2 linked regions of the Stegostoma tigrinum genome follow. The protein of the gene in region 1 purifies or fractionates together with the protein of each later gene. This does not show direct contact. Links are inferred from orthologs where the notes say so. Each region holds a gene or a part of one and is shown on either strand. Other genes may lie near its edges. The genes, in order: claspin and timeless.

Region 1 (15,662 bases):
ACTGGTTATGTGGCAAGTCCAGTTGAATTTTCTGGTCAATTTTAACCTCAGGATGTTGATAGTAAGGGATTCAGTGATGGTAACACCATTGAACATCAAGGGGCAGTAATTAGATTGTCTTTTAATGGAAATGGTCATTGCCTGGCATTTGTGTGGCGCAAATGTTACTCAACACTTGTCAGTCCAAACCTGGATACTGTCTAGATCTTCTTGCATTTGAAGATGGACTGATTCAGTATCTGAGGAGTAACGAACAGTGCTGAACATTGCACAATCATCGGCAAACAACCCCACTTCTAACCTCACGATGAGGGGGAAGGTCATTGATGAAGCAGCTGAAGATGGTTGGGCCTAGATTACTACCCCGAGGAACTAACCTGAAGCTGAGAAGACTGATCTCCAACAACCACAACCATCTTCCTGTGTGCCAGGAATGACTCCAACCAGTGGAGAATTTTCCCAAATGCCATTGATTCCAGTCTGGCTAGGGTTCCTTTTGCCATAATTGGTCAAACACACAATCTTGATTTCAAGGGCTGTCACTTGCAGTTGTTCTCTGGGATTCCGCTCCTTTGTCCATGTTTGGACCAAGGCTGTAACTCACAATTATACATGCATACCGGTCCTTGGAACATATTGCGTGGGTAATGACGAAATCAACAGAAGTAAAGCTTCAGTCTAGGTTCCAACATTTGATCTACACACACACACACACACACACACTTTTGGAGCAGATATGTAGCTCGGGTTGTGGATGTTGTGGTCGGTTGGCTCACCAAGCCGGTTCATTGTGCTGCAGACGTTTCATTACCCTGCTGATTTTACCCAGCAGGGTAATGAAACGTATGCAGAACAACAAACCAATTCGGCAAGTCAACCAACCACAAAAAAAAGTGTGATTTTTTAACATGAAATTTTCAGTTCAGATAGCGGTGTTGTTTAAATGACAAAAATAGTTGTCTATATAAGGACAGTTTGACAGTAATAATTTATATTTGGAGGCAGTCATTAACAAAATAAAATTTCCCAAGACACGTGACAGAACTATTGCAAAATAAATTATGACAATGAGCCACCAAAAAACTATTAATTCATGTAAAGATACAGGACATGACTGAAGGCTTGGACAACGTGGTAAATGCCTTGTAGTGTAATAAGGAGAAAAAGGACGTAGCAAGGCTGAGGGGGAATTCCAGAGGCTTGGATCAAGTCAATTGAGCTCATCAATTATGAAGCAATGAAAAGTGAGGCTCCACTTGAAATCAAGTTCAGAATAGGGCACTGATCTCAGTACTGTCGGGTCGAAGGAGATTACAAAGATAGCTTCATACCTATGAAGCGAATTTGAAACTCACGGATAAAAATTTTAATAATCAAGATATTGTTTCACTGACAGCCAGTCAAGACAGTGAGCATAGGGGTTTTCAGGCAATCTACGATGCAAATTGTACTGATATTAATGATGGAATGTTTGAATTTGACCAGTTGCAACTGTCACGGATTTGTTGACATTTTGTCATTGTACTAATTGCAACTTAAAACTGATGCTCAACATACAAACGTACATTCACAAAACCCCATTTCTGCCCAATGGTTAAATCTCTATTTGTGGAAATTTACAACCATCGTCCAGATTCTCATGGAGTTCCCCAGTCTGGTCTCCTCTCTCCCATTTTCACACAAGCCACTAGCTCTAAATTATTTATCAAGGGCAAGGGACTCTGTTTGCATCTGTTGTATTGTACCGAAAAACATTTGATCACTTTGTGAAACAAAACTTGCAAATGTAGTTCACTTTGTGGAACAAAACCCAATTTCACAAGTTTCAAATCGGACTCACTTTGGATTGTTTTGCTTTCTTCTTTACAGCTGCTCGTATGGCATCCAATGACAACTCTTCCTCTGCATCAAGTTCATTCACATCATCCACTTCTGTTTCAAACAAGTCACTGTTGTTTAGCAGGCAGCCACTGTCATCTGCTGTCTCGTATTCTGCAGACTCTTCCTGAACAGAGATTAAAGAAATGCATTAAAAAATTGAAGTGATTAATGTATTTACTATTTAATACCATCTTCAAAACACAGTTGCAAGTAAGATTGAAAGATCTCAAAAGGTCGAATGGTTTAACAGTTCAAGCTTAACCTCAGAAGGCACCCTGTTAACTATTTTCCACACCATTTTTTCTTGTTTCTTCTTCTTTCTCTGCAGTTTCTCAACTGCTTCCAGCTTTTTCAGTGCTTTCTCTCGCTGTCTCTGGGACTTGTCCTTTCGATTTACTCGTTCTTGGTGATGTTTTGAATGTTCAGATATTTCTAAGCTAACTGAAGAGCTATCTGAATCAGAATTTTCATGTCTGAGTTCTGTTGTGGGCTGTTCCTCATTTTCTCTACCAACACAACTGGATTTTATTATTCTCACTTGACCTTCACCGTTAATAATATCCAAGTCACTTTCATCACTATCCAACAATACTCTCCGAATACGTCGCAGCCTCTTGCTTTTATCTCCCGCATTGAAATTTCGCTCTTCATTTTCATTGTCAACATCTGGTTCTGAATTGCTGTTTCTGTGTAGATTGCTTGCCTCCCCATCACTATCACTCTCTTGCAAAGGTTTCCTTCTAATTTTCTTGCTGGTAAAAATTTCTTCTTCTGAATCTGAAGAAAGACAAAAAAAGAGCAAATTCACATTTTTCCCCCACTTTACACTACATATCAACTTTTTGGCCCACTTTACACATTATTTGTTAAACAGTTTGGATTCATCTCACATCCCGCCTTTCATGCTATTTCGCAGTCATCTGCAAACTTGGCAACAGTATGAGCACTTCCTTCCGTAAACTCATTAATGTATACTGTAAAGCAGCTGTGGACATGACTTCCCTTCCATAAAACCATGACCACTCTTGATTCGATTATGAAGTTTTCCAAATTTGCTGCAATTACTCCTTAATAATTGATTTCAACAATTTTCCAACAATAGATGTTAGACTAATTTGTTTTTAGTTATGTGCTTTTTGCCTCCCCACTTATTGAATAGGAGTGTCATATTGGCTGTTTTCTAACCCTCCAGTCCTTACCCAGAATCCAAGGAATTTTAGAAAATTAGAACCAAAGCATCCACTATCTATGCAAACTCTTAGGATCTTTGGATGCACGGCAACAGGGCCAGGGGACTTGTGCCTTCAGCCCTATTAGCTTGTCGAATACTACGTTGCTGGTGATGGTATTTAATTCTTCACCCGAATTCATGGGATGTTTGAAGTATCTTTTATAAAGACTGAGGCAAATTATTTGTTTAACTCTACAGCTATTTGCTTATTCTGCACAACTATTCCCCCAAATTCATTTCCTAAGGGGCCAAGAATCACTGACGTCTCCTTTTTATATACAAAAGAAACTCTTATTGTCAGTTTTTATGTTCCTTGCTACCTTACCCTGAAAGTTGATTTTCTCTCAATTTATTCTGTCTAGTTTTGATGGATCCCAAATTTATCCTAGTCTAATTTTAACGTAAAAGCAGATAACTTAGATCACTGAAGCATTAACATCTGAAATATTCACATTTGTCACACTTAGAGAAAATGTGTAACAAAGTACTCCACAGAACAAACAATGGATTTGATGATAGAGAATTAATAACTAATAACTTTGCAAGCTGAAACAAATTACACATGATAGAACACAAACCTCCACCATCATGGCACATGTCTTTGTTTGAACGTGGGGAGACCATTCCATAACTTCCCTTGCCACTGTCGTTATCACTGTCATTTGTTTTTTCTTCACCAAATGTTAACTGGAAATAAAGTACAAAATCAGAGCCTACTTTGGTCACAGCTCATTCGGTGAAAAATTAGAATACGACAGAAATGGATTACAAAGTGAGCACACAAAGAGAGAAAGTTAGACACAGAACGTGTAACAACCGTTGCATTCTTCTTTGAACACAATTTCAAGCAAAAAGACTTCCTCCACCTGAAGATGATCATAAACATTTGAAAAATACAAGGGAGTCTTCAAACAGATTAATCAAATAAATCTCACAGGACTTACATGTCAGAAACAACTTTCTTGGCGATACCAGTTCATGTCAAAGTTTACGCTCTACTTGAGCATCCTCCCACCCAACTTGATTTATTATTGCTAGCATAGCCTTTGATTTCTTTCTCCCTCATGTGGTTTTTCTTAGCATTCCCTTAAAATGCATATTTATTTGTTTTGACTGCTCAACGATGTAGCAAGTTTCACATTCCAAACACACTTTAGGTTAAGAAGTTTGCCGTAAATTTAAGAGATGATCAAGCACTTTGACCCTTTTGAATATCCAAAAACTGGAAAAACATATGCTGCACCCATCTTATCAAACCCCTTTATCATTTTACAGTACTTCATCACTCAGTCTTTCCTCAAAAAGTTCCAGATAATTGAGCCTTTGCTAGTTATAAACTCAACACCAGCATTATTGACATACATCTTTGCTACACCATCACCAATGCTCTGGTGTCCTTTTAACAAACTCATTCAAATACCTTGCTGAATATACAGGTGAAAAAAGTGTTTGAAGTGGGAGATAGTGGCAATGTCACTGAACCAGAATCCAGAAGCCTGGCTACTGAGTTAAAACCACACCAGGATAGGTTAGGAATTTAAATTCAACAAATGAAATCTAGAACTAAAGCTCCTCTCATGAACCTGTGGTTGTTTTCTGTAAAACCCCTCAGTTTACTAATATCCTTTTGGGCATTTTCTTGAGGAAGGAAATTTTTCACCCATATCTGGTACTGGCCGTGACAAAAATCCAGAGTGTCTTGGTAGATTCTAAATTCCCTTCTGAGATGGCCAAGCAAGCCAGGTGGTGGAACTAGGCAGGCAACAAACATTGGCCTTGACAATGAAACCCATGAAAGAATTAGGTATCAAGGTAAAACCTGGGTAAATCATACACTCTCTACTTTGATACTACATGAAATCAAAAGAATTAAAGACATGCAAGTATCTCTGAAAGTGAGCACAAACGTTTTCACTGCTTTCAACAACCTTCGCAGAAATTCTGATGTACTCGATATTAATTGGACACATTGAATTCACTGAGTTAGAAAGCACAGTCTGCTGACCTCTATGGCAGAATATTTCAGTGAAGCATTTCGTAATAATTTGATATCTATTGCTTACTTTTCTAAATCGCTCTTCTGGCTTTAGTTCATTTTACAAGCCAAATACTCGGAAATGCTATGTTAGAACTAAGTTGATTAATATTTTATTTGTATTCAATTACATCTTCATAGCATTTTACAGCAAAAGGGATTCCATTGCCAAACTAAGATTTGTGATGGTTTGTGCTTCTTATTTGTGGCAGCCATGACATGAATGAACTTGCTGATACATTTACAATTTGGTCATTTCGAACTGCTTATGTTGCAATAACGAACAGTTAAAGTTGATTTTGCACCAACATGCACAGATATAAACTTCATTTTCTACATTTCAGCAAGTAAATGATTCAGAATATGTACAGAACCAAATAACCTCAAGTTCATGAAATGTCTTTCGTTCTCTAGGTGCACCCATCACCGTCTAGCAAAGAGACAAATGAGGAAGCAGCTACAACACAGGATGGATTTCTAGAACATGGAACAAGTACCTCAAAAACTGAATAGCTGCTGAAATGTTAGTATCATACTGGATGTCAAGACACTGCTTTACCATTCAGTCCAATATTTCTCAGCTAACAAACAGCAAAGCACTTTAATGCTAGCATTGCTGATTTGAATTCAATGATTAATTGCTGTAAACACACTAGTGTGATAAAACTGATATTGATGATGCATCTGATACTTGTGTGGGAACTTACAATGCAAATACAATGCTATGTGTGTGTTTCCAAAGTTAAACAAAGCTTTTCATCCTGTTCGCAAAGAACTACATTGGGATTGCAAACAGAATTGCAGATGTTGTTTATACATTGGTTTCACTAAATACTTGATCCAAAATCCCTAAAGGCCACCAAAAATTCCAGCTCAAAATATTAAGTTAAACTAGACCCCAAATAAGTTTGCCTATCCTCTTACTCAATATTCACGTTACATTGGATCATTGCACGATTTAGCCTAAAAGCTAGCATATCATATTCCAGATTCCAATCTAGTGGACCGAAGCTGGAACCCTGAAGATCTGACTCTGAAGATCAAAGCCAAATTATATCAAGTGCTTGGGTTGCGTTTATTAGCCCAATGACAAGGAATGACCTGGTTTGATAATTAGCCACACACAGAACTACCAAACAGTTTGGATCATTTCACCTCTCACTGTTCTAAACGGAATACACTACGTGCTCATTTAACGAGAAAAATAATGTATGGAACTGCGTGACTGCCCAAAAAGTTAAAAACAAGTAAGCTTAATCCCTTCACAGCCACTACTATATTTCACCTTACTAAGCTTTTCCTTACGTCGCCTCACGACTGCAAAGCAGTCATAAAGGTATATGGCAGTCTTCCACAAGTTGCGAAAAGATGTACAAAACAATGAAACTTAAAACTGCAAATTCATAAAAGTTAATTGCTTAAAAGTTGTGCAACAGAAGAACTAGGTAAAAAAAGTGAGCAGCATAAGTAGCGCCTACAATTTTGGGCGGTGATTAAACAGGGGAGGGAAAATTTAAGGTAGAAAGTGAATGCATGCTGCACCCAAATTATCAATAGGAAACCGCCAACTACCAACTCCCATTGTAAGGATCGTCTTAGCGAACCTAAAACAACACCCGCCAAAAAATATAAATTCACAATCTACAACAGACAGCTGGAAAATAAGACAAATCTGCAATGATCGAGTACGAAAGACAGGCCGTCATTAAAATATGAAAGGCTTTTAATTATAGAAACTGACATATTTAAACCCAGAGAGATTAAAAAGAACAATCAGCTGACAAGTCTGAAAGTGCCAACAGTCACAACGCTGTTGTTTTATTTCAGAAGGCACAGGATGATTCGCCAGACAAAAATACCGAGAAGAGTGGACTGCGGGTACAATCCCCAGTAGGTCTCAGGAGCGGAGACCGACAGCAGAGGGGCCTCCCTTCCAGCCAGCGCGCCAAGCCGGGGCCGGCCCAGCAGACCCTCCCTCCATTTTGCTCCTACCTCCGTGCACGGCTGTAGTTCGGATACTGACATCGCGGAGTAATTAACGGAAAACAAAACACTCGAGGAAGAAAAGGCGTCAGGTCGAAAAGGGCCGTGTGACTTCAGCAGCTCCGAGCGTTCCAATTAAAATAACTTCATCACGACCTTTAAAACCAAACGGCTCCAGCCCGGGAAAGCTCTGCCTCCGACTAACAAACTCTCACGGTTTCGGCCTTCGCGCCCAGCCGCTCAGCGCATGCTCCATCAGCAGAGTGCCATCCCTCCACTCCCGATTGGTGACGGGCCCCGCACAATACTCCGCCCTCTCGCTCTGTATTGTTTCCGACTCTGGAGGCGAGCCGGCCCCTTCAGTGTCGAGGCGTATCGAAACCCCGCCCGCTCTTGTGATGTCACCAGACCCCGCCCGTTCCCACAAATGATTGACATGTCCAGGATGGAACCTGGCGCCCGTCATTGGTGCGTCTTTCTCCTCTTGTGCTGCAGCGGTAAATTTGAAATAGATTTGTTGATCGACTTGCAGGTAATTCTATTCCCACAAAACCGAAATAGCTTTGCTGTTGTAATGCTGTGACGGTGTCTACACCTCTAAGCCAAGAGGCCTAGGTTTAAATCCCACTTCATCCAGAGTTGAGCCAAGATATAGAGATTCTCGAACTCGCAACCATAATGTCAAAATTTGGGCTGGACCGTTCAAGAGACATGCAGCAAGCACCTACACAGCAGTTCAGAATTCTCTTCCACAAAGACTCAGAGAACACAAACAGACACTTCAGTCTAATACGTCCTTGCCGACCAGATATCCTAAATAAATCTAGTCCTATTTGCCAGCATTTGGACCATATCCCTCTAAATGCTGCCTAATTATTTACCCATCCAGGTGCCTTTTAAACATTGTACCAGTCTCCACCACTTCCTCTGGCATTTTGGTCGGCACTCACACCACCCTCTGTGTGAAAAGGTTATCCCGATCCCTTCTAACTCTTTCTCCTTTCATCTTAAACCTATGCCCTCTAGTTTTGGACTCCCCCATCCTGGAGAAAAGACATTGTCTATTTATCCTATCCATGCCCATCATGATTTTAGAAACGTTTATAAAGGCCAACACCCCTCTGCCTCTGATGGTCCAGAGAAAATAGTCCCACTCTCCTCAGCCTCAAACCCTCCAACCCCAAACTGTTTCAAATTTCACACCATCCTTCCAATGTAGGAAAACCAGAATTGCAAGCAGCATTCCAACAGTGGCGTAACCAATGTCCTGTGCAGTCACAACATGACCTCCCAACTCATATTCTCAAAGCACTGACCAATAAAGGCAAGTATACCAAACACCCTCTTCACTAACTTATCTATCTACGATTCCACTTTCAGGGACCTGTTAACCAGCACTCTAAGGTCCCTTTGTTCAGCAATACATCCCAGGATCTTACCCTTAAGTGTACACACCCTGCCCTGATTTGCCTTTCCAAAATGCACCACCTCACATTTATCTAAATTAAACTTCAGTAACTTTTGATCAAGCAAAAGTATTGAGGGATATAGGCCAAAGGCAGGTTTACTGGCTGATCTGTGGCCACAATCAGAACAGGCCGGAAGGGCTAAATGACCTCCAGTTTTTATACTCCTATCTCTGAACAGGTAGATTAGAAAACATGTAAAATCAGTGTCTTCCCCCTCACAAAGCACAATTATAGGCAGTTCCCCTGTAACACAATAATTGAGTTCTTGTGCACCCACGTGCTATAGGGAAATTACTACAGAAAAATCACTATAGTGTACATTAGAAAGTTTGCACATCCAAACAGCGTTACACTAATAGTGTAATAGAAACACATTGAAATAGTTACACCAACATTTAACAAATATCTTTGTAAAAATACAAGCACCAAGCTTTATCTGAAAACTAAAACTGGCAAGTAACGAAGTTACATAAGCTAAACCTGCACTAGACCACGTTCAGTACTTCAAACATTTCTCCATTTCTATGTGGTAACCGGAAACGAGGTCTCTTGTGATGTAGTAGTAGAATTTTTACTTTTGAGCCAGGAGGCACGTGTTCAAGTGCTATCTGCTGCAGAGGTGTGTCATGACAGATCAGACACAGATTGATTAAAATTATCTGTTAAAGTGGAAATGCTTTAAGGGCACAAAAAATTCACAAGTATAACACAGGAATTACATAGGTACACAATAAAGCAAACTGTCCCCCTCACTTTTTCTGGTACAGCAATAATATTATCAGTTCTGCTTCACCCTCTCTTTCAGGAGGCTGCAGGGCAGAGCATAACTACATAGGCCACAAATAGAAGACGGTCACCAAGAAATCCAATGGTGAATTCAGAACAGAAAAAAAGAAATCTTCGCAGCTGAAAAGCCATAAAAAAGAACCACTACCACAGTTGGTAGTGAAAGTGCATAGCACGGGTGAAGATAAGGGACAAAACAAGCACGTGAAGAAAACTGGGAGATAGTTCAAATAGAGATAATGGGAACTGCAGATGCTGGAGAATCCAAGATAACAAAGTGTGAAGCTGGATGAACACAGCAGGCCAAGCAGCATCTCAGGAGCACAAAAGCTGACATTTCGGGCCTAGACCCTTCATCAGAGAGGGGGATGGGGAGGGGGTTCTGAAATAAATAGGGAGGGGGAGGCGGACCGAAGATGGATAGAGGATGGATAGGTCAGTCCGGGGAGGACAGACAGATCAAGGAGGCGGGATGAGGTTAGTAGGTGGGAAATTGAGGTGCGGCTTGAGGTGGGAGGAGGGGATAGGTGAGAGGAAGAACAGGTTAGGGAGGCGGGGATGAGCTGGGCTAGTTTTGGGATGCAGTGGGGGGAGGGAGATTTTGAATCTTGTTAAGTCCACATTGATACCATTGGGATGCAGGGTTCCCAAGCGGAATATGAGTTGCTGTTCCTGCAACCTTCGGGTGGCATCATTGTGGCACTGCAGGAGGCCCAGGATGGACATGTCATCTAAAGAATGGGAGGGGGAGTTAAAATGGTTCATGACTAGGAGGTGCAGTTGTTTATTGCGAACCGAGCAGAGGTGTTCTGCAAAGCGGTCCCCAAGCCTCCGCTTGGTTTCCCCAATGTAGAGGTAGCCACAACGAGTACAGTGGATACAGTATACCACATTGGCAGATGTGCAGGTGAACATCTGCTTGATATGGAAAGTCATCTTGGGGCCTCGGATGGGGGTGAGGGAGGTGGTGTGGGGGCAAGTGTAGCACTTCCTGCGGTTGCAGGGGAAGGTGCCGAGTGAGTTGGAGGTCAGTGTGGAGCGGATAAGGGAGTCGCGGAGAGAGTGGTCTCTCCAGAAGGCAGACAAGGGTGGGGATGGAAAAATGTCTTGGGTGGTGGGCTCGGATTGTAGATGGCGGAAGTGTCGGAGGATGATGCATTGTATCCGGAGGTTGGTGGGGTGGTATGCGAGGATAATGGGGATTCTCTTTAGGCTGTTATTGCGGGGGCGAGGTGTGAGGGATGTGTTGCGGGAAATGTGGGAGACACGGTCGAGGGTGTTCTCGACAACTGCAGGGGGGATGTTGTGGTCCTTGAAGAACGCGGACATCTGGGATGTGCGGAAGTGGAATGCCTCATCCTGGGAGCAGATGCGGCGGAGGCAAAGGAATTGGGAATAGGGGATGGAACTTTTGCAGGAGGGTGGGTTGGAGGAGGTGTATTCTAGGTAGCTGTGGGAGTCAGTGGGCTTGAAATGGACATCAGTTTCTAGCTGGTTGCCTGAGATGGAGACAGAGAGGTCCAGGAAGGTGAGGGATGTGTTGGAGATGCAGGTGAACTTGGAGGTTGGGGTGGAAGGTGTTGGTGAAGTGGATGAACTGTTCGAGCTCCTCTTGGGAGCAAGAGGCGGCGCCGATACAGTTGTCAATGTAACAGAGGAAGAGGTGGGGTTCGGGGCCAGTGTAGGTGCGGAAGAGGGACTGTTCCACGTAACCTACAAAGAGGCAGGCATAGCTCGGGCCCATGCGGGTACCCATGGCCACCCCCTTTGTCTGTAGGAAGTGGGAGAAATCGGAAGAAGTTACTCATCCTCACCCTCAACAACGTCTCTTTTGATTCCTCCCACTTCCTACAAACCACCAAGCCACTGTGCCACTGCAGTGGATTATTTCAGACCACAACATGAGAAGCAGCACTGTGCCATTTGGTCCATCAACAGATTGTGGCTGATTTGATAAACCTCAACTCCACTTTCCTATCTTTTCCCTTTAACCCTTGATTCCCTCATTTAAAAAAAAACCATCTGCTTCTCTCAGCCAATTAACAGATTATAGATTTTATGCCAGCAATAATTTAATTTGTGAAAGCACAAAAATGTAGTAAAATAAGCTGTAACATGAGGAAATTACTTTCAGTTTTGTTTTTCTCGACAATGTTCTTCAACAGAAGCAGTGTACATGTTCTTTTACTGAACTTTACGTTCAACATTTAAATAATAGTTTCAGACTTATTTTCTGTTTAGATGAATTAGAAATGACATTTAGACAATTTAGATTGAAAATACTTTACTCAAGTCTTATAATAATGTAAAAGAAAAGACAGATCGACACATATATACTACCTAATCACATAAAAAGATTCCAAAATGTTTAAAATAAAGTTCATCAATGGAACACCAGAAATGGACCTAAAGGAATAACACCTTTGCCCCACTACAAACACAGAGTGAGGTCAAGTGTGGACGTCAGTGCAACAGAGTCATGACATATGTACACGAAAGACCCTTTAAAATTAAAAAAAAGGGCAAAAACCTACAAATATCATATCTGAGTTTCACTGCCACTGATTTCCAGACATCAATTTCCAAATTGAGCAAGCAAATGTTTCAAATCACATATCTAGCCATTTTTGCTCCTTCTGGAAACATTTTCTCAGTAGCCCAGGAAAGACATACAGCAACGGCATTTCTGCTGCAAACTGTAATATTGCTGCCCTTTACAAATCCATTTTTTCCACCACTGGATTGGACACTTTGTGCCATTGCAGACTGTTATGCAGGACAGTCAGTGCTCCAAGATGAAGTTGCAAAAGATAATGAAAGGCATAAGCATTAGTTCAAATCATTTTTGGGGGTCAGTGGATGGAAAGGATATCTTATCTATGCAGGGAAACAAAAAACAGATCTACCAGCTGTGAAACCGTTGCACAGAAAATGAGATGTCAAAATGGTACTTTAATGGATCCAATTCTAAATGAAGTTAAAGAGTCTTACTGCCAATTCCAATTTAAGCTTTTTTTAGATTTTTCTATTCTTGTCCAAATTCGTCTGATTTTCATTCAGTACGATGTAAAGGTGGTTAGATACTGAAATTCTGCCTTAGCTATGTGGCTTAAAACTGAAACTTGGAAGCCCATCTCCTCCCCACAGCATCAGCATATAATTTCTTTAAAGTACTGTATTCAAACTGACAATTTTGATCTGGATAAGTTCTACCACATCCTAGGATTTCTATGATGTGGTCTCTTTCCCATTAAGAACTGGATTAAAATTATATAAACTAATTTTATTTAGAACCAGCTGAGCTAAGACCGGAAGTGGACGTTTTCTTTTCAATAACTTGGATTATTAGTCAACGACGCAGCTGTACAATTAACCGATAAGCTATTTCTATGTGTAAAAATCATACATTACTTCTTGCATTTCTGATTTAGAACTGTCAAAACCCTTTTTTAAAAAATTGTACGATACTGATTATGAAATATCTTCTGGAAGTGGGCCGTATTTTAGCACTTCTCAACCAAAGTTGAAAATGCATGAGTGCAGCAGATAATGAGGGCAGGAGAGGTGCAGTTGCTGCACCTCCTAAATTAAAGCCAGTTTTTAAAAACAACTGGGCAGTCAAATTTAACCAGCTAATGACAAACGCTGCAACACCTAAAATTAAATAAAATGTTAATTATTTTTTAAAAATCTTCACCAGCATTTTGCCTGGAAATACAGCCATATGCCAAGCCTCTTCAAATCACTGCACTGGTGGCTTTCCTCGGCCAGTTTGCATCGAGGTTGGTTTGTCATTAATTTTGAGAAAGACAGTGCTCCAAAGCTGCCATTCCATACAGGTTGGCTTTATCCTCACCAATATTTAACATAATGTCTTTACATGGTTTGCTGTTCTTGGCCAGTTCTGTTAAAACACTCTGAAAGGCAGCAACGAGGTCAAACTCCACGGTCACAGGTGAACTCTTATTTAACAAAACAAAAATGTCTCTCAACCACTCTGATTCAATTACACTTTGTGGTAGCCATGGTAGCAAAGGTACACAACTAACAAAAGCCTGCATTCCCAGAAACCAAAGCTCTGAGATTTGATCCCAAGCTTCTTGGTATCTCTCAGTCACCACAATCTGTGTTTGGTCATCAATTCTGTTTAGCTGCGTTGTATGTGCTTTTGACAAAAAGTGAATTGCCCCTCGGAAAAAGCCCTTGGATACTGTAGTTCCCTGTAACACTGAAAAAAAAAATGCACAGTTACTCCCAAAAGACAAATCCAGGCTGGTTACAAATTCAACTTCAATGCAAAATTCAAGATTGACAAACTCTTGATCTCCAAAACTAAATAATATACATTTACCTGTCTCAGTTTCCTCCTCTTCTCTGATCCTTGGTATTTTTTCTGTCATTTTTAAACCGCTTGTAAATTCAGCCTAGGTTCCAAACTCTCACTTAATCCATCTCCTCCATGAAACCCATTTCCTTCACAACTGATTCTAGTTACACCATGTATTTTAAATCATTTGCCTTCCACTGTCGCACTATTACTCTAGCAAAGACCTTCCCTCCTGCCCTTGCACAAGGCCCACTGCTATCACCAGCACAATATGTAAATTTAGATCAACCTGGTTATTCTCTGCTCTAGCACTGCATTAGTAAAAGAGACACAATGCTTTAATGTTCTACAAGTTTCCCTTTTCTAAGTACTGTAAATAATGCCAGTTGTACATGATAGATATTTTTAAATCAATCTGTTCAGAGAGTTATGACATGTACAGTAGAGGTATGTCTTGAACCCAGACCTTATTGCCCAGAGGCAGCAACACTTCAACTGCATCACAAAAGCCCCTGGTTTTGCATTATATGTAGTGTTTGAGGCTGCTCGACAATGATGAGGTGGGGATTAGGGTGCTGAGTTAATGATTTCCTGTTCCATACCTGGTGTGTCAGCAAGTATGCGACTCATCATCAGCCCCAAAGCTGTGAAATTAGCAGCAAGAATCAGGTGAAGCTGGTTACAAAGCAAGGACTGCAAGGATTCCATTAACAAGCTAAGTAAAGATGAGAAACATTCTTCCTGCCTGCAATGACATTAAAAAAAAGACAAGTGTAAGAAATAATTTTAAGAAGTTGCAATAAAAGCCTTCAAAAAGAAAATCCGTTTGTCCACAAATATAACAGGTCAGACCAAAATTCACCGTGAAATCCATTCAATGACACAATTGTTTGAATTACCCTTTCAGATTCTTTAGTTGCAAGAAAAATCAATAAGTTAACAGCCTGTGATCAGCTGGGCAACTGTAAATGCGGACACTGAATATTACATACAGAAAAAGTGTCTGACGCTTGAGTGAGCTTCAAAATCATTAACTCTTGCCCTCTGGTACCTCAACAGATTGACTGAGGGAGTGGTCAAATCATACAGCCAAGGAACGACTAAGGATTGGTCCTTAATCTCAAGCTCCGACAGCAATAGGGATATTATAACTGACCAAATTGGAAACAGTAAGACAAAAAAATTGCAGTCCTAGTGTTGTTACTGCTATAATAACTTCTGCTGGAAATGCACAGGGGGTAAGATCAGGGTAACTCAATTACTAAGTAGTTATGGTAAAAGACCAGTAACATTATCATTCCACCATAGCAAAGAAGTTAACTCAACAAAATCTCTTCTGAGTAAGTACCAGACAAAAACAAACTGTTCATCATAAAGGCTGTCAGCTTCTGGCAGGAATCTGCTAGTCTTAACTGCTCGGACCTACACATGGATGCAGTCCAATACTAATAATTGCTTTTGAGAGGAATCCGGCCATCTCACTGATTCTCCATATTATACTGTGAACCTCATAACTGAGATAAGGTATTGTATACCTGATCAGTGCAGGCTCTGTTACCACAAGGTTTAGAAAAATTCCACAAGCTGTTCGAAGACTCATCTCTGCATTATCTGGCAAAACTGATGCATTTTTGGAAGAACTGAAGACTTCCCACTGTTGTGTGAAATAACGAAGAAGCAAAACATGAAATCCATCCGAAATTAAGATGGTCCTAGGTACATCCTCAGCTGAAAGGTGACAAAATCCAGGCAACAGAAATCTATAAGCAAATACATATAATTACCAAAACACTGAGTGCACACAAGTGATAAGAGACAAGTTGTTTCCTATAAATCCTAACCAACTAAGGAAGGTGTTTGTACTCACTAATGATTAAAGTGTACAGCTGCACCTCTCAGTTAAATTTTCATCCTGGTTAATTTGTCAGCCAGAATATCATGAACATAAGA
Region 2 (16,642 bases), on another chromosome or scaffold:
TGACCCAGGTAATTATTGACCTGTGAGCCTTATGTCTGTTGTAGGAAAAATTTTGGAAAGGATTATAAGAGATAGGATTTATAATTGTCTAGCAAGCAACAATTTGATTGGAGATAGTCAGCATGGATTCGTCAAAGGCAGGTCGTGTCTCACAAACCTCATTGAGTTTTTTGAGAAGGTGACCAAGCATGTGGATGAGGGAAGGGCAGTTAACTTCAGTAAAACCTTTGATAAGGTTCCCCATGGTAGGCTATTGGAGAAAATACAGAGGCACAGGATTGTGGGAGATTTAGCACTTTGGATTAGAAATTGGCTTTCTGTAAGAAGGCAACGAGTGGCGGTTGATGGAAAATATTCAGCTGGGGTCCAGTTACCAGTGGTGGGCCTCAAGGATCTGTTTTGGGACCACTGCTGCTTGTCATTTTTATAAATGACTTGGACGCAGGCATAGGTGGATGGCTTAGTAAGTTTGCAGATGACACTAAAGTCGGTGGAGTGGTGGAGAGTGTGGCAGAATGTTGTAGGTTGCTGGGAGACTTGGATAAACTGCAGAATTGGGCCGAAAGGTGGCAAATGGAGTTTAATACGGATAAACGAGAGGTGATTCACTTTGGGAGGAATAACAGGAAGGCAGAATACGGGGTCAATGGAAAGATTCTTGGTAGTGTGGATGTGCAGAGGGATCTTGGTGTCCATGTACATAGATCCCTGGAAGTTGCCACCCAGGTTGATGGTGCTGTTAAGAAGGCTTACGGTGTGTTAGGATTTATTGGTAGAGTGATTGAGTTCTGGAGCCGTGATGTCATGCTGCAACTGTACAAAACGCTAGTGCGGCCCCACTTGGAATATTGCATGCAGTTCTGGTCGCCCCATTACAGGAAGGATGTGGAAGCATTGGAAAAGGTGCAGAGGAGATTTACCAGGATGTTGCCTGGTCTGGAGCGTAGGCCCTATGAAAAAAGGCTGAGGGACTTGGACCTGTTCTCATTGGAGAGAAGGAGGCTAAGAGGAGATTTAATCGAGACATACAAGACGATCAGAGGATTAGGTATGGTGGGAAGTGAGAGTCTTTTTCCGATGATGATGACTTCAGCTTGTACAAGGAGGCATAGCTACAAATTGAGGGGTGATAGATTTAAGACAGATGTCAGAGGCAGGTTCTTTATTCAGAGTGTGGCAAGGGCGCGGGATACCCTGCCTGACAATGTAGCTAACTCGGCCACATTAGGGGCATTTAAACAGTCCTTGGATAAGCATATGGATGATGATGGGATAGTGTGGGGGAGTGGCTTAGATTAGTCCACAGGTCGGCGCAACATCGAGGGCCGAAGGGCCTGCTCTGCGCTGTATTTTTCTATGTTCTATGGGAGAGCCACCTAATTGATTGAGTTCATATACAGTCAATCTTTGTTTGTTGCATGGGTTTGATTACAAAGCCAACCTTCTAACGCATGTCCCTCTCCCCCTACCACACTAAAGGATTGTTCACAAGCTAAACACCTGCTATTACAAGGCTAGATTTGAAACTGTATTAGCTCTTCCATCCCAGAAAGTATTTCATCACTCAACTCCCACCCACCTCCTTTTCACCTCAAGTTTCCTTTCCTTTAAGGAATCGTGTTTCCTTGGATTTCTCAAGTTCCACTTTGAAATATTCATCACAAGGAGCCAAAGAGAGTCCCTTTAGACAAGCCAAATGGATACTTAGTTATCTTATTTACTCGATTACCTCAAATCACCTGTTTTAAAATTTGGAGATGATTGATATTTCACTGCTGTGGTCTGAGACACTACGTAAATGCAGATAACACAGCCCTTTTCAATGCAAGGAGCACTCTGCAAAAATGCTCCATGTAGCAAAACACTTTCAAACTTGATTGATACCTGATAACTGCTTCATACAGCACCTTCTCCTGAGGATACTGTGTGATAATGGGCAGCAGGTCATTCTGTAGAATCTGTGCAGCTCCCAGTTGCTGCCGAATGTCTCTTGTCTCATCTTCGTGTCTTAAGTATCGGATTAGGTCTTTGACACTCTCTGAAAAACAAGAATGAATTGCAGTCAGCATGTGCCTTTATAAATCAAACGTCACTTTTAGCTGGCTCCACTTCTTTTCCTGAAGCTAGTGGCTTTTGCTTGAGCATGTACTCAAGGGGCCATTTTCAGGCACAAGCAGAGAGTAAGTTCTGGCTGAATACGCTACCACGAGGCTGTCACAACCAAACCTGATTCTGTTCCTGTCCAATAGCCACATGTGCACCTTCCAGAAATAATTCTTCAATTGCAAAACAACAAAAAAAATTGTCAAGCCATGGGGCAACAGCAGAACTAATGGGCAGATCTTTCAGAGTGCTGACACATGCACTAGGAGTCAAATGCCTCTTTCTGTGCCACAACATTCTATCAGAAGCAGCAGCAGCTCTGGTTGATTTCCTTCCCATGTCTCTAACATTCCAAAGCAAACAGTCAGCTGGAGTTGGTTTACTGAACAAATCATGAATCAAAACTGCAGATTTCTTGGTCTGTAAGGCCTTGAGCGGCACTGTTACAGACAGATTATGAGTTTCAAAACAAATCACTCTCCCTGTTCTCACCACCTGTCTACATGTGGAGGTTTGCAATAGATTATTATTTTTTGAGAACTTGGATTCCAAAGTAGGGGCAAATGGGTTTTTGGCTTTCAGTTCTGTGACTGTGACATTTAAAAAAAGGCTAATTTTTTTTCTAGCATTGGATCAAAACAGTGTTTTCAACAAATCATGTGACTTAAGCTAAATTACTTGACCAGCTACCTGGAGAGATAATTGCTGAAGTGTTTACAACATTGAGCTTTTATGACTTGCCAAAAAAAAGAGAGATCAGAGGCAAGAAGCAGAGTCAGCTCAGAGGAAACAAACTATATCAGATGTGCTCTTTCACAGCCTTAACGTAGTTAGAAAAAAAAACTTTAACTTAGCCGGTTTGTCTCAGGGAGAAATGAGGAGAATCACATCTGGTGAATGCCAAGTAAGTCGTCGAAAGGAAACATTTGTAACCGTGTCAATTGAGTACGAAAATAGTGAAGATAGTTGTGATACTTCACTGGGGTTGGATGCCTGGAATGGACAACACTGGGAAAAAGGGATTAATCTTTCTTTTATAGATAATAAAATGTGAGGCTGGATGAACACAGCAGGCCAAGCAGCATCTCAGGAGCACAAAAGCTGACGTTTCGGGCCTAGACCCTTCATCAGAGAGCTCTTTTTGCTGTTTATCATATCACGTGGAATGTCTTACACAATTTTGGTTTATTTTCTATTACTGTGAGTAACACACTATTTTGCACAATGAACCTATTCACTGGAGGTTGCCAGTGACTGACCACCATGGTAATCAAATTGCAAAAGTAAAATCTATGGCCTATCAAGTCAGGTTTTACTCTGGGATCTGACTTGTCCAGTATTACCATCACCTGGGATTGTAAGCGTAAACAGTCAATACAGTGTGGACCTGTAGGAACACAGCAGAGCATCAGAGGAGCAGGCAAGTCAATATTTTGTGTTTACACCAGCAACTGCAATTCTTGCTACCTCCTAGTAACAGTAAGCAGACTGCAATTTAAATTTTTCTCCTCTCTTGAAACAGTGGGGTGTATTTCCCCATTCACTCCGTGGGTAGACTATAACTTTGTAAGGAACACAACATTACTGTAGGAAAATTAAATCTAAGTAGGGCTTATTTCACATGATCTCAGATACAGAGAAATGATTTGCAACAGAAGCACAATTACAAACATACATGGAGAGACAGGATAGAAAAGGATCAAGAAATTGTTCAATTAGTAAAACTAAAATACAAAACAACCAAGGGATACAAGTGCCCTGGCTTTTAAGATGGAGTTCAGAAGTCTAAAACTGCAGTTGGCAGCCTGGACTTCCTTTCTAGAGGTGGTTTGATTGGCTAGACAGCAGTGGAAGAGTTATACATAGTGTTTTCTCTTTAAAAATCTCTTCAAAATTATTCGGAGATAATTTTGCTAAAAGGAAACGTCTATTCCGTTGTTTTGATGAATGTAACTTTTAGTTGCAGAAAGCAAGTGTGGATGACTGCTCTTTACAGTAAGAGAAAACTTAGCAAGATTGACAAGGCCATTTGCCATTGTTTCCAACGCCTTGGCAGATACTAGTTGGTCTGTCCAATTTAATTCCTTTTATTGACTGTGACTGAGTGCTGCAGACTGGCACATTCCAAGATGCAGGACTACGTGCTGAAGGATGCACTAAAGCTTGCAGTTTATATGCCTTATATCCTGTTTTTGTACAAAATACAGAAACAGAACCGGAAGTGGTACCAAACACCCCAACAATCTGAGGCATATGAATAACAAGTGGGACAGAACACCAAAGCTTCACCAAAGGCGCACTGATGATATTACCTAGCACAGTGACAAAAAGTTTGCAACCAAACCCACTGGTTCAGCGAGCATGTATACTTTTGCAATTAAGAAAAATTCCTTTTACCATATTGTATAGGAGCTAGCTACAGAGTGGCTTGCTCGGCACCATTCCAGAAGGCATTTAAGACTCAACCACATTGCTGTGAATCATATGTAGACTAGACCAGGTGTGAATGGCAGATTTTTCCCTAAAGGACATCGGTGAACAAATCAAAAATGATTTCATAGTTTTCATTGTCCTAGTTTGTTTGTTTAATTTCAGTCCTTTTAAAATTAATTGGCAGGATTTGAACTCTGGATTACTGGTCCAATGACAATACTACTGTGTCACCAGTTTCCCCCTAAGTTTATGGATGATGACTGCCAGAAAACCCTGTCAATTGTGAGATACAGCTTTCATATAGTTTTAAGAATCAGGTCTCAGGATTTAAAGCATGACTAAGAGTACAGGCTTGAAACAACTCACCTAAACAATCAGGCTCTTTGTGATAGTTGTCCACTTCCAGGTATCCCAAGGCACTGCATGTTGCTAATAGTTCACAGTTCATCATGTTCAGACGCACACAGTGCACTCTTCAAAAGCAGTCGAGACATAGGACAAACAAAGGAAGGGCGGGGGGGTGGGGGGGGGGGGTGGTGGTGTGGGTAAAAGAAGAGAGAGAGAGAGCGAGAAAAAAGGGTGTAATTGCTCCAGTTGTAAAACAGAGTGTGGAAGAATTATTTTGTCATCTGCTTAAAAGTACACTGCAAATGAAGTGATGTTATAAAAGGATGGAAGATACAAATCAAATAGATACATCGGTGCAAAAAAAGGACAAAAAGTTGTGCTACTCCCACACTCCTACCATTGCACATTTCAATGGTCATCAATCTATATGATAACTCCATTTCTGTTTAAAATACAACCACACTTGCCAAGTGCTGCTTGCATTTGCTGTCCAGTTTCAGGTAATAGCAGAAAATAGCAAAATGGTTGCTAAGAATTTCTGGTCTTAATCATGCTGCTGTGGAATATAGAAAAATACAGTGCCGCCACCACTGACATTACTAGAGACATGGCAAAACAGGATGCTGGACAAGTGACCCATCAGTTTCTTGAGACTAACAGGATTGGCAAAAGTTGCCTAGTGCATCCTTGAAAAGAGGGACTGGTAGACATCTTGAGGTCTTATGAACATACGAATGGGGAGTAGGCCATTTGGCCCTTCAAGCCTGCACTGCCATTCAACATGATCATGGTTGGTCTGATTTTGTCCTCAACTCCACCTTCCTGTCAAACATGCTAACTTTTAACTCCCTTGTTAGTCTTAATAGTATTCATAGACTCTGCCTCCACTACTGAGGAAGAGTACTTCAAAGACCCCAAAGGGTGGCTCAGTCCTTAGCATGGCTACCTCACATTGCCAGGGACACTGGTATAATTCCAACCTTCAGTGACTGAGTGAATGGAGTTTGCACATTCTCCCTGTGTCTGCATGAGGATGCTCTGGTTTCCTCCCACAGTCCAAAGTCATGCGGGTTAGTTGGAGTGGCTATATTAAATTACCCATAATGTCCAGGGATGTGTAGATAAGCCATGGAAAATGCAGAGTTACAGGAATAAGGTGGGATGCTCTCCAGAGAGTCAGTGTGGACTTGAAGAGCCTTGCTCCTACACTAAGGATTCCAAGGCTCTCAGCCCTCAGAGGAAAACAAATCTCATCTCTTCTTGTGGAGTTAAAAATACATTTCCCATCCCAAAGAAAAAGCAAGCCCAACCCCAGGAGGTCAGCAGGATGACTGGAGTTTCAATCTTTTCCATTCCACTTGTGATCAATTGGTAATACCTTTAATATTTTTTTTATTGTTATTGTACCTAAGGCCCACATTCCCCTGCCATTGATGCCAAATGTAACACTCCAAATTTCTAAAATTAGATCAGAAGAATTGTCATAAGCCACACAATACCAGGTTATAGTCCAACAGGTTTATGTAAAATTGCAAACTTTCGGAGCGCTCCTCCTTCGTCAGGTAAAGTGGAGGGAAGCACACAGTCAAAGAATTTATAGGCAGAGATCGTTGCAAGATAATTCTAGGTAATTAAAATTTGAACCTGGAACCATTTAGTGCAATACCAAGCAACACAATTATTTATTGGACCTTCAAGTAAATGTCTCATGAGCTAATTTAACAGAACATCCTCCCTCTCTCTATTATCCTCAACAGTCCTACTGTAGTTTGAGGACGATTGGCAGTGCAAACTGTATTGGGTAAGGCTTGAAAAGTTGTATTGTTGTCTACAGTAAAGTTAGGAAGTGCACAAGATTTAAAAGGGGAAAAAAGCAATTTTTTATGGAGAGTGTTACTGATGTGACAGCACCAGTGACAACACTTCCCATACAAAGCAGGGGAACCTATGACATCAAAGACCTACATTTTTGTGCATCTTGTAAATGGTTGTTGAGTCCGCTAAAAAATGTGGAGAAAGCAAGTCTTAATTTTCAATTATATGTGAAAGAGAGTTAGCAACATGGAGAAACATAAATATGGGGCAGAAGTGCTTGGAAGTTTCACTTAAACTGTAGAAGCATTTTCCAACGTAAATGACATCTTCCCCCAAACCCAGAGCCCTTCATTCATCGGAGTGTCAGAAAGAAATGTCAGCTGATTTCTACGGACACGCTGAGCTTTCCATAATTTAAGATTTCAATGGATTAGCGAGATTCAGGCTCGAAATTTGTTTTAAAGTCATGCAGCCATATAAAACACAAAATCGAGTAAAATGAGGTACTGCTTCAATAAGAAAAATATGGGACGGACGGAAGGGGGAGGGGGAAGGAATAGATGATGGTCAAGAGATCAAATTGGCTAAAAGAACTTCGGATCCAAAAAGGAATATTTGTGGATACGTTTACAACCCGACACCGACAAATCGCAATGGTGAATTTGCCGGTACAGGCACGATCAAGCAGAATGACCTCCGTCTGCTCCAAAATCATCCCGTTTTTGACTGAAAAGATTTAAATTGGGGGGAACCGAACGATTTGAAACGGAGGAATAAAAGAGACAAGCTCACCTTAGGTTTTGCAAGCCAATTTCCAAGTGCTTATGACTGAAATGCTTGAAATATTTCAACTCGATTGTCCTTCTAAAATCTGAACATTCCGCGCTCCAAGAATTCCCGCCAACCCCGGAACCGCCCAACTGGGAGGCGGCAGGGGGGTGAAGACCTGAGAAACAAACAAAAAGCAGAAATATGCAACCTGCGAACACACAAGAAAAAGTATTATTAGTATTTGTTCTTTAAAATATTATCCTTTCCTTGGTAAATTTTAGAGAGGGCTGCGTACTAAATGTAACAGATATGTGTCTTGATTCAGGCCACCCCTCTCGAGGCGCATTTAAAACAGTCCAGGCGGAGAACTGCAACGCTAAATTAACTTTGTGTCAGATATTCCGGATTTCCCCGAATAGGTGATCGTCAGAGAACGTTTTACTATACGCGATTTCAGAACAAAGCATATTAGAACAGTAGAATAACACTGTCTCGTCCGAATAACTGTGAGCCCACTCCAATCTTGTATTAAAACCCCTTTAAATTGCTTTAGTATGAGTCACGGTGGCCGAGTGGTTAAGGCGTTGGACTCGAAATCCAATGGGGTCTCCCCGCACAGGTTCGAATCCTGTTCGTGACGATATACTTTTCCCCCCCCCGGGAAAGGGAAATACAACCGCCAGGAATTTGACGTTCACGTTTTGCTTCTGGGAACGTTCACTTGTCACACAGCAGTCCCGACATACAGGCATACCAAAGTAGAAACTGCACATCTTGCACACTTTGTAAAATTCACTCAATAAAACCATGAAAGAAAACTGCTAAAAAGCTTATTACCTATTGCATTAAAAATCACAAGTTCTGTTCACGATGAATTAAATGATCTTTTGGTTACCCATTGAACAGAAGCCTTTAATTTTAAAAGTGTTTCAGCTTTTCTTCCATGAAAGATCCATTTCCTCGATTGTTAAGTGTTCAAATCGTTTTGTTTACATCATACTCCAGGTTGTCAGGAGGACAGCTCCTACACTTAGAGTGTGATGTCACCCCAAGAAACTTTGAAAAACATTCATGGAACTAATTGCCATAACAGGTAGAAGGATCACTGCACCTAACATTGTTTCATATTTTTCTACATTTCATGCAACAATGCACGAGAGGTCCATTTCATTCCACCAGCTTGGGTCAACATTAACCCACCACATGAACCAAACACAATTATATAACATTTCCATATCCTTTTCAACCTTTTTGCCTTCATACACCCATCAAGTCTAATCTGAAATACTGGCATTGTTTCTGCCTTAACCACTATCCTAATTCAACATGACTCTTCTTCAGAATAGTTCCAAAGAACAGTCATACCCAATTCAAAACTAACTTTTTCCTCCCACAGATGCTGGCAAACCTGCTGAGTCTGTTCAGAATTTTTTTTAAATTTCAGATTTCCAGTATCTGTGGTTTTTTGCTTTTATGACTGCAAATTAATTCCAGTCTCACAACTGTATGCACAAAAAGTTCCTCCTGCCCTTCATTTAAAATCTTTAAAAAAAATTCAATGGTATCAGTGAACATCCTAGGATTTTGAATGAAGTGGATGCAAAGAAAATGATTATATGGTTAGGATTTTCCAAACTATACTGGTTTCTAAAATGATTCTAGCAAATCAGAAGTTGGCAAAATGTAACTGCTCTTTGAGAAAGGCAAGAGAGAGATAGAGAGAGAAATACTGGCCAGTTATCCTGAAGTCAGTCATCAGTAAAACGCTGGAATCTATTGTTGAGGAAGTCTTAACACATTTAGAAAATTGTAGCATGACCAGTTGGATCAAAATTGTTTTATGAAAAAGAAGTCATATTTGAACATTTATTGAAGTCTTTTGAAGTTGTATGTTATAAAGGTACATAACAGAGAGTCAGAAGATAGAACATACTTGAATAAAGGTGCTGCAGAAAAAGTCAACATGCAAGATAAGAGCTCATGGAGATCAAGGTAATAGATTAGCATGAAGAGCATCAGTTGACAGACAGGAAGCAGAAAATAGGGATTAAACAGGGCATTTTCAAGTTGGCAGCTACATGTAGAATTAGTGGAATTCCGCAAATGTAATATCAGTGATGCAGCCTCAACTATTTACAATTTATATTAATGTCTTAGACAAAGAGACAAACTAATACGACTAAATTTTCTTACAGTAGAAAGCTAGGTCAGGAGGAGTGCGGTGAAGACACCAACACTGTGGAAAGATTAAGTAATTGGGCAACAAGGGTGGGGGGGGGGGGGGAAATAGATCAAGATTAATGTGGGGGTAAGTGTAATTTTGTTCACTTTAGTATTCAGTATAGAAGATGTTTTAAAAATAGGTGTGATTTTAAATGTTAATGTTCAGAGATAGGTGTGCATGTACAAACGAACACAAAATTAGTAGGCAGGTACAAGAATAAAAAGTCACTTTGCCACAATTGTATTGGGCTTTGGAGAGAACACATCTGGAGTACCTTATAATAGTTACAATGCAGGAGGCCAATCAGTATTGTCTGCACAGGCTCTCCACAGGAACACTTTACCTGGTATCACTCCCCAATCTTATCCCCATTGCTGAGCACATGGGGGTGACAGCGTTGTCCCATAAGAGGCTGAGTAAATTGGGCCTATGCTGTCTAGAGTTTAGAAGAATGAACGTCAATAGCACTGAAACAGAGAGATTCTGGAGAGACTTGAGAGTTGACACTGATTGTTTCTGTTGGTTGGGGAAAATGGGCTACACTCACAATATGAATTAATTGTTTAATCTGGGATGAGAAGACATTTCTTCTTTCAAAAGGTTGTGAATCAATGGAAGTGTCCATTGCAGAGCTCAATTGTTGGGTATATTCAAGCGGAAGTAGACAGATTTTGACCTCTCAGGCAACCTAATGATATGGAAAACTGACAGGAAATTAGTTGAGACAGGTGGTTCGTCAGGATCTTACTGACTAGTAAAGCGGGCTAAAGTGCCATTTGACCTATACCCCCTTTGACCTATACCCCCACTCCTATTTCTTACATTCTATGACACTCAGTATCTGATGTCCTATTTACCGCACAGTATTAACAACCCACCTGCTTCTATTTGCCTTGGCCTATTATTTTACATCTATTACATTGGAAGGGTGAAAAGTGCAACAATAATTTGAATTTATATAGCATTGTTAAAATAGTAAAAACAAAATGACTCACCAGGAGTGATGAAACAAAATTTGACACCGAGTCACATAGATTAGGTTCAGGCAACCAAAAACTTCAAAGTGCTAGGTTTTACAAAGTACCCTGGAGGAAGAGGAGGAGTAAACCTCAGCCCGAGAATGGCAACCCCTCTTGTATTTTACCCCAACTGCCCATTCTTTATGTATGAACGTACTGATGGTATGTCACCCGAAAAGAACATCACAATCAAATCCAATTTGGTCCTCACCAAACATCTGCACACATCAATGTTTGCTAGCAAAGGTGGGTAGCAATAAACATCAGGACAACTTTAGCTGATATTTACTCCATCTTTACCCAAAGATACTGAAGTCCGATGTAGCCACACAGCTCCCTAAATCTCAGTTGTGCGTTTAGCCACTGGGTCATTCCAGTATTCACCTTCTCACGTCAATAATTTGCATTTAATTATATTGGGGTGCAATGTAAATGTTCCAAGGTACTCCACAGGGACATGAGACAAAATTTAACCCGAGCCACCAAAGTCAGTATGAGGAACAAGTAACCATAAGCTTAAATCAAGAATGTAGCCTTTAAAGGAGCATCTTAAAAAGGGATGAATGAAAGAAAGCAAGACACAAGAGATTTGGGGAAGGAATTCCAAAACCTGCTCCGTCAGCTGCCTATGATGTGGATATTAAAATTGTGGATGCTGAAGAGTCCAAAATTGGACCAGAGCAAAGATCTTGAGATGGTTTTAGGGGCTGGAGAAGGTGACAGGGAAGGGTGTTGACAGGGAAGGGTGTAGGTGGCGGTGACATATAAGGAGGGATGGGGGAGATTACAGAGATAGGAGGTCGTAGGAGATAATAATAGTCATAGTCATAAAAGTTGTACAGCTTTAAATAGACCCTTCAGCCAAAGCTGTCCACACTGACAATACATTCAAATCTGACCTAGTCCCATTTGCCAGCATTTGGCCCATATCCCTCAACACTTTTTATTCATATACCTATCGAGATGCCTTTTAAATGTTGCAATTGTAATGACTTTCACCAGTTCCTCTGGCAGCTTGTTCCATACATGCTCCACCCCCTGTGTGAAGAAGTTACCCATTAGGTTCTTTTCAAATCTTTCCCCTCTCATCTTAAACCTATGCCCCTCTAGTTTTGGAATCCCCTACACCTGGGGGGAGAATGACATTGACTATTCACCCTATCCATGCCCCTCATCATTTTATAAACCCACTACCAGATTACCCCTCAGCCTCCTGCAATACAGGGAAAGAAGCCCCAGCTTATTTAATGTCTCCCTGTAACTCAAACCCTTCAGTCCTAGTTTCAGAAATAGGGAATTATAGGATGTTAGAGATGGAGTGTGTTTTGGGGGTGGGGGGTGGGGGGTGGGGAAGAGCAGGTGCTCACCATAAAAGTGATTCATGAACAAGGAGAATCTTTTGAAAAACAAAAAAAAATGTTGGGCAGTAAGCAGCGTGATGATAGACACACCGGATCAGTGAGAGTTAGGACGCAGGACTTTTCTGATGAAGTGTCACTGGACCCAAAACATTAACTCTGATTTCTTTCCACAGACGCTGCCAGACCTGCTGAGCTTTTCCAGCAATCTCAATTTGGTTTCTGATTTACAGCATCCACAGTTCTTTCAGTTTTTAATTTGGTATATGAAATCATCCTTCAGCTCCACTGAAGTTGCAATGAATGTGCAAACATTTCCCAGCTCCCCCTCCCCTTAAAGTCTTGTGGGCCAAAACTGGACTCTGAAATCAGACTTTGTCTTGTCTAAAGCAGGGACTTCCTCAAACATGTATTCAAATGTATTGATTCTGCACTACAGATTTCTATTTGTTTTGTTAGTGATTGGATAAATATCCAATATCTATTTCGGGTTCTAATTTGCATACAGACAGCAGCTATTTTGTTCAATTCCTACAGGTCGGTGCAGCTATCATCACATCCACTGATATTGTGTTTTGTACTGCCTAAGCTGAGCTTTAGTTCAGCATCATCTGTACAATTATCAACTTTGCATAAAATCTCTAACATTCAGCAGATGAACATCACAAGAATCTGACAAGACAAACAAACCAATCAGGTATGTAATTAACTGGCCAATGTTGCTCTGGTGGGCAAGTATAAATATTTAAAACTATGCACCAGAACATAGTGCAGAACGTAACTAGCCTCATGCTCAGCTGGAGTTGACTGTCCTGGCTGAGGGATGTGAACAAAGTAGAGAGGACAAACCGTACTGGAAGCCAGGTGGTGAGATAGGAAAATAAAGATCAGCACATATGCAGACAGTGCAAGACACTGCGCAAATTGGGGGAAAAAAGGACACAAAGACCAAATACATACTATGAGTTTTATTTCACAGATAATTTATGAAAAAAAAAGTGTTTTGTTCATCATTAATACCAAGTGCCACAGCTTTTCAAATACATCACAACTAATCAGCTACAGGAGTCAATTCTGGACTGCAAACATTCTCCAATCACAAAATAAACTTGTGTAGTGTAATCAGGTTCACTTTAAAAAGACACGCACAGTGAGACAATACACAGCTTTATAAAATTTAAAAAAAAAAGCACTGAATTGTTTTCTGGAGCAACATTTTAAAAAAACACTTCATATAAGTTTGCTTGTTTTACTGCAAGATAACAGTTTCTAAAATACTATTTGATTTTCTATGTATATTATCCAATAGATAATTATTCCAATTGGCTGCTGCAGGACAATAGTTCCGAGAGGATTAATGTAGTGACCAAATTCTGCTTTTCCATCTATCACATTGGAAGTTACTTTAAAAAGGTCCGAGAGGCTAGGTAGATGATTTCCATACCCCTCCTCCCCAATGTAACTAAGAAATTAAACTTCTGCTCTGAGCAGAGGTAGTCAGTCAATCTCAGACTGGACAGCAATTGAAGAGATTATAGTTGACCTCAGCATCCTCAGGTTATGGAGGGACAAAACACATTGGGGTACTACTGCTAACTGCTTTTAAAGCAATGACCATAACTGGAAAGTGTATCAAAAATCAAAAAGATCAAGCCTATCTGGAATGCCCTCAAAAGCCCCTCAATAAGATGTAGAATAGCAATTTGGGACCAGATGGCCACCAGCTCCTCCTTGACAGGGATATGCAGAGAGTGTGAGCAGGAGAGGAGGAAGGAGAGTAGAAAGGAGGGATAGAGTAGAAGAAAATTTCAAAACAAAAAGAGGGAGAAAGACATAGATTATCTCCCATGAGGATATTCTCAGGTAGCTTTGTTTAGTCCCAAAGACAAGGATGTAAAGCTGGAAATGGAAAGAGCTCCTTTATGATTAGGCAGATTACTTGGCACTCAAAATGAAAACAGACTTATTTGTAAGCTGTCATCACTACTATAGCTTTCGGCACATTACCAGGTGATTTAAAGACAAATCCTTTCTGACTGCATGAGGACAGATCTTAATCAAGGGCACACAATCATTTTTGTCACAGATCAATTTCAGGAAGGGAGGATGTACAGAAGATGTTTTTTAAAAAAAAAGCAGAACCAGACAATAATTCCAGAAACTATCTTTCTGCCCATGGCCACCCAGATGAGTACCTAGCCCAGCTGGAGGTTTCATTTTTGTAAGCAACATCAAGCCACGTTGAGATCCAAACTGAAACATCCAAAAAAAAAGGGGACTGTGTAACACATGTTGCAAACCAATTATTTTAAAAAAAACTTAAACTTGGAGAGGCAAGTCTTCAACACATTTTTGCAGTTAAATTACCAGTCGCTTGTAGAAAAATAACAGGTCATGAGGTCCCTCGATGTGCAGGGGGAATGTCACAGTCATGTCGTTTACTACAAACCTTGGTGCATAAATTTGTATTTTAAGCCCTGCAAGAGCATTTACGATGCAGGACATAATATCTGTACTGATTATTACCGGAAATCAGACGTAAAACTAGCTTTTAGCTTGCTGAATAACATTCAACACAGAATCCAGGTGGCACAAGGTTTAGACACTTCAGTGGATCCCATGGAGAGAGAGAGAAAAAAAAAGTGTGACACTTCCTTGGATGGACGTTATGACATTCCTGAGTCCAGCCCCAAATTGAATAGAAAGAGTATTCCTTCATGTTGTCTAAACACAAAGTCCTCTTTTAACCTCAAAAAACCCCAAAATAAATAATGTAATTATTAGCCTTCTGAAACAAACCTCAAGCAATATAATCCTAGATTTGTGCTCAAAAATGATATACATTCAAGAATATTGGACAAGCTTTCCCTACAGTTTGAAAGGCATAGGAACTGCACAAGGGACGATGATAAAGATTTGCTGGATCTGAACTCACCTTTTAAAAAAAAAAACAACTGCCCAGGACTGAATCAATCCCACAGACCCAGTTTCAAACCCTAACGAAAGGTTAAACCATGTTTCACACTTGCAAGGGTTTTTGTAAACTTCAAATTTTGAATACTGAGGGAGAGAATTTACCAATTTGTGGACAAAGCAAAAAAAATTCCCGAACAGCAAGATTTTAAATCGAAATATGTACAAACATAAACTCTAACTAGAATGTATAGATTAACAACATTCTCCCCCTTACCCCTCAAGTCAGGATTTGAAGCACCATATTCAAAACCTCTTGCCAGTGGCAATTGGTCTGATTATTCTTGGCTGCTTTGGGTCAAAGTATAATAATTTGCAGCTGGAGCAGGGACAGGAGGGAAGCATAGCTCCCATTTGAAGTCAGTTAAAATGTCCAGTATTAGGTAGTTACTAAAGTACTGATACCTACTTCAGTCAGTTCCACTGAAACAAAGCCAAGTGAATTACATTTCTTTTTAAAAACGTACACATTATACTTGGGCTTTCTACTATCCCTTTCATTTTTGTTTTTTTTTGCAATCCTGTACTAGCTCAGCCTTCATTGTAACTTTGTGGCCGGCAATCATGCATTCGATATCCATTGCGCGCGCGCGCGCGCACACACACACACACACACACACCTCTTCAGGTATTTGTAGAGGGTGTTTCAAAATCAAGATGGCATCCTGACTACATCACACAATAAAATACTTACAGGATTTTAAAAGCAGGATTAGTTACAGGATCATTTATTTTTAAAAAAGGCCAAATCTTTTTGTTGTTCCACCACTGGAGGCACATCACTCCAATTTTGGCCATTCTTGCACAAGACTCTGTTCAGAAGTCATTTGACATCAAGGTTAATAATTCAGTTCAAGGCAAATCCAAGAGAAGGTAGGATTTAGATTAAAAGGTGATTAATATTGGTATAGGGTCAAAGCAAATTAAAAAAAGTGAATGCAATTGCAATGCCCTGTAGCAGTTGCAAATTCAATTCATCTCACCCCCTGACTGGGCACTTAGTAAACCACACTTCAAGTGATTATTCACGTTCCACATATTACCCCACATCCCACTTGGGTCTTGCAAAAACCATTTTTAATCATGCCTGAACATTGACAGTTTTGTTTGCAGCAAATCAGAGTCATTTTGATTGCTTTAGTGGATGTTAAGCCGTATAGTACATACAGGACTAAAATCTGTTTTAAAGTTTGTCTGTGAGCTCTGCTCAAACAGAGCAACCTGAAAAGACTTTTCCTCCAAAACAATCACAGAAACACTTTTATATCCTACACTCGACCACAGTATAGCAGCAGCTTCTACAATAGAAATATTGTCCACTATTTTCTGTTTGCAACAAGGCAAAGAAACAAACAAACAAGTGAATCAGGTATCAGAGCATAACACAAACCACTACCAGTAAGGTGAAATAGTGCCACAAATGCTAGTTTTTTCATGTGGCAGCAGGAACTGGAATGGACATCAGAATTGTACTTCTTGCCTTTAGTCTTTTAATCTTGGAAGAATAAATTAAAAATGGTTGTGACAAGTGTTCTGTAAGCTGCAAGCTCTCATTCTTTAAGCCAGCTTTTGAGCTGCATAAAAGCCATTGGTCAAAT

The links.
Region 2: the proteins of claspin (region 1) and timeless purify together in Homo sapiens (affinity purification with western blotting; 4 studies listed by BioGRID). This does not show direct contact. The link is inferred for Stegostoma tigrinum from reciprocal best matches to the Homo sapiens genes CLSPN and TIMELESS.

Annotation. Positions count from the first base shown.
Region 1 is NC_081377.1:22,634,676-22,650,337, forward strand, and holds the start of claspin, read right to left. Parts: upstream 7,369-15,662; 5' UTR 7,173-7,368; coding exon 7,140-7,172; intron 3,800-7,139; coding exon 3,691-3,799; intron 2,659-3,690; coding exon 2,177-2,658; intron 2,006-2,176; coding exon 1,841-2,005; intron 1-1,840. Other genes in the region: ncdn (neurochondrin), read right to left, coding at 13,180-13,613, 14,315-14,457, 15,248-15,472.
Region 2 is NC_081404.1:19,199,888-19,216,529, forward strand, and holds the start of timeless (protein timeless homolog), read right to left. Parts: upstream 7,637-16,642; 5' UTR 7,492-7,636; intron 5,010-7,491; 5' UTR 4,988-5,009; coding exon 4,903-4,987; intron 2,039-4,902; coding exon 1,885-2,038; intron 1-1,884. UniProt on the Homo sapiens protein: Plays an important role in the control of DNA replication, maintenance of replication fork stability, maintenance of genome stability throughout normal DNA replication, DNA repair and in the regulation of the circadian clock.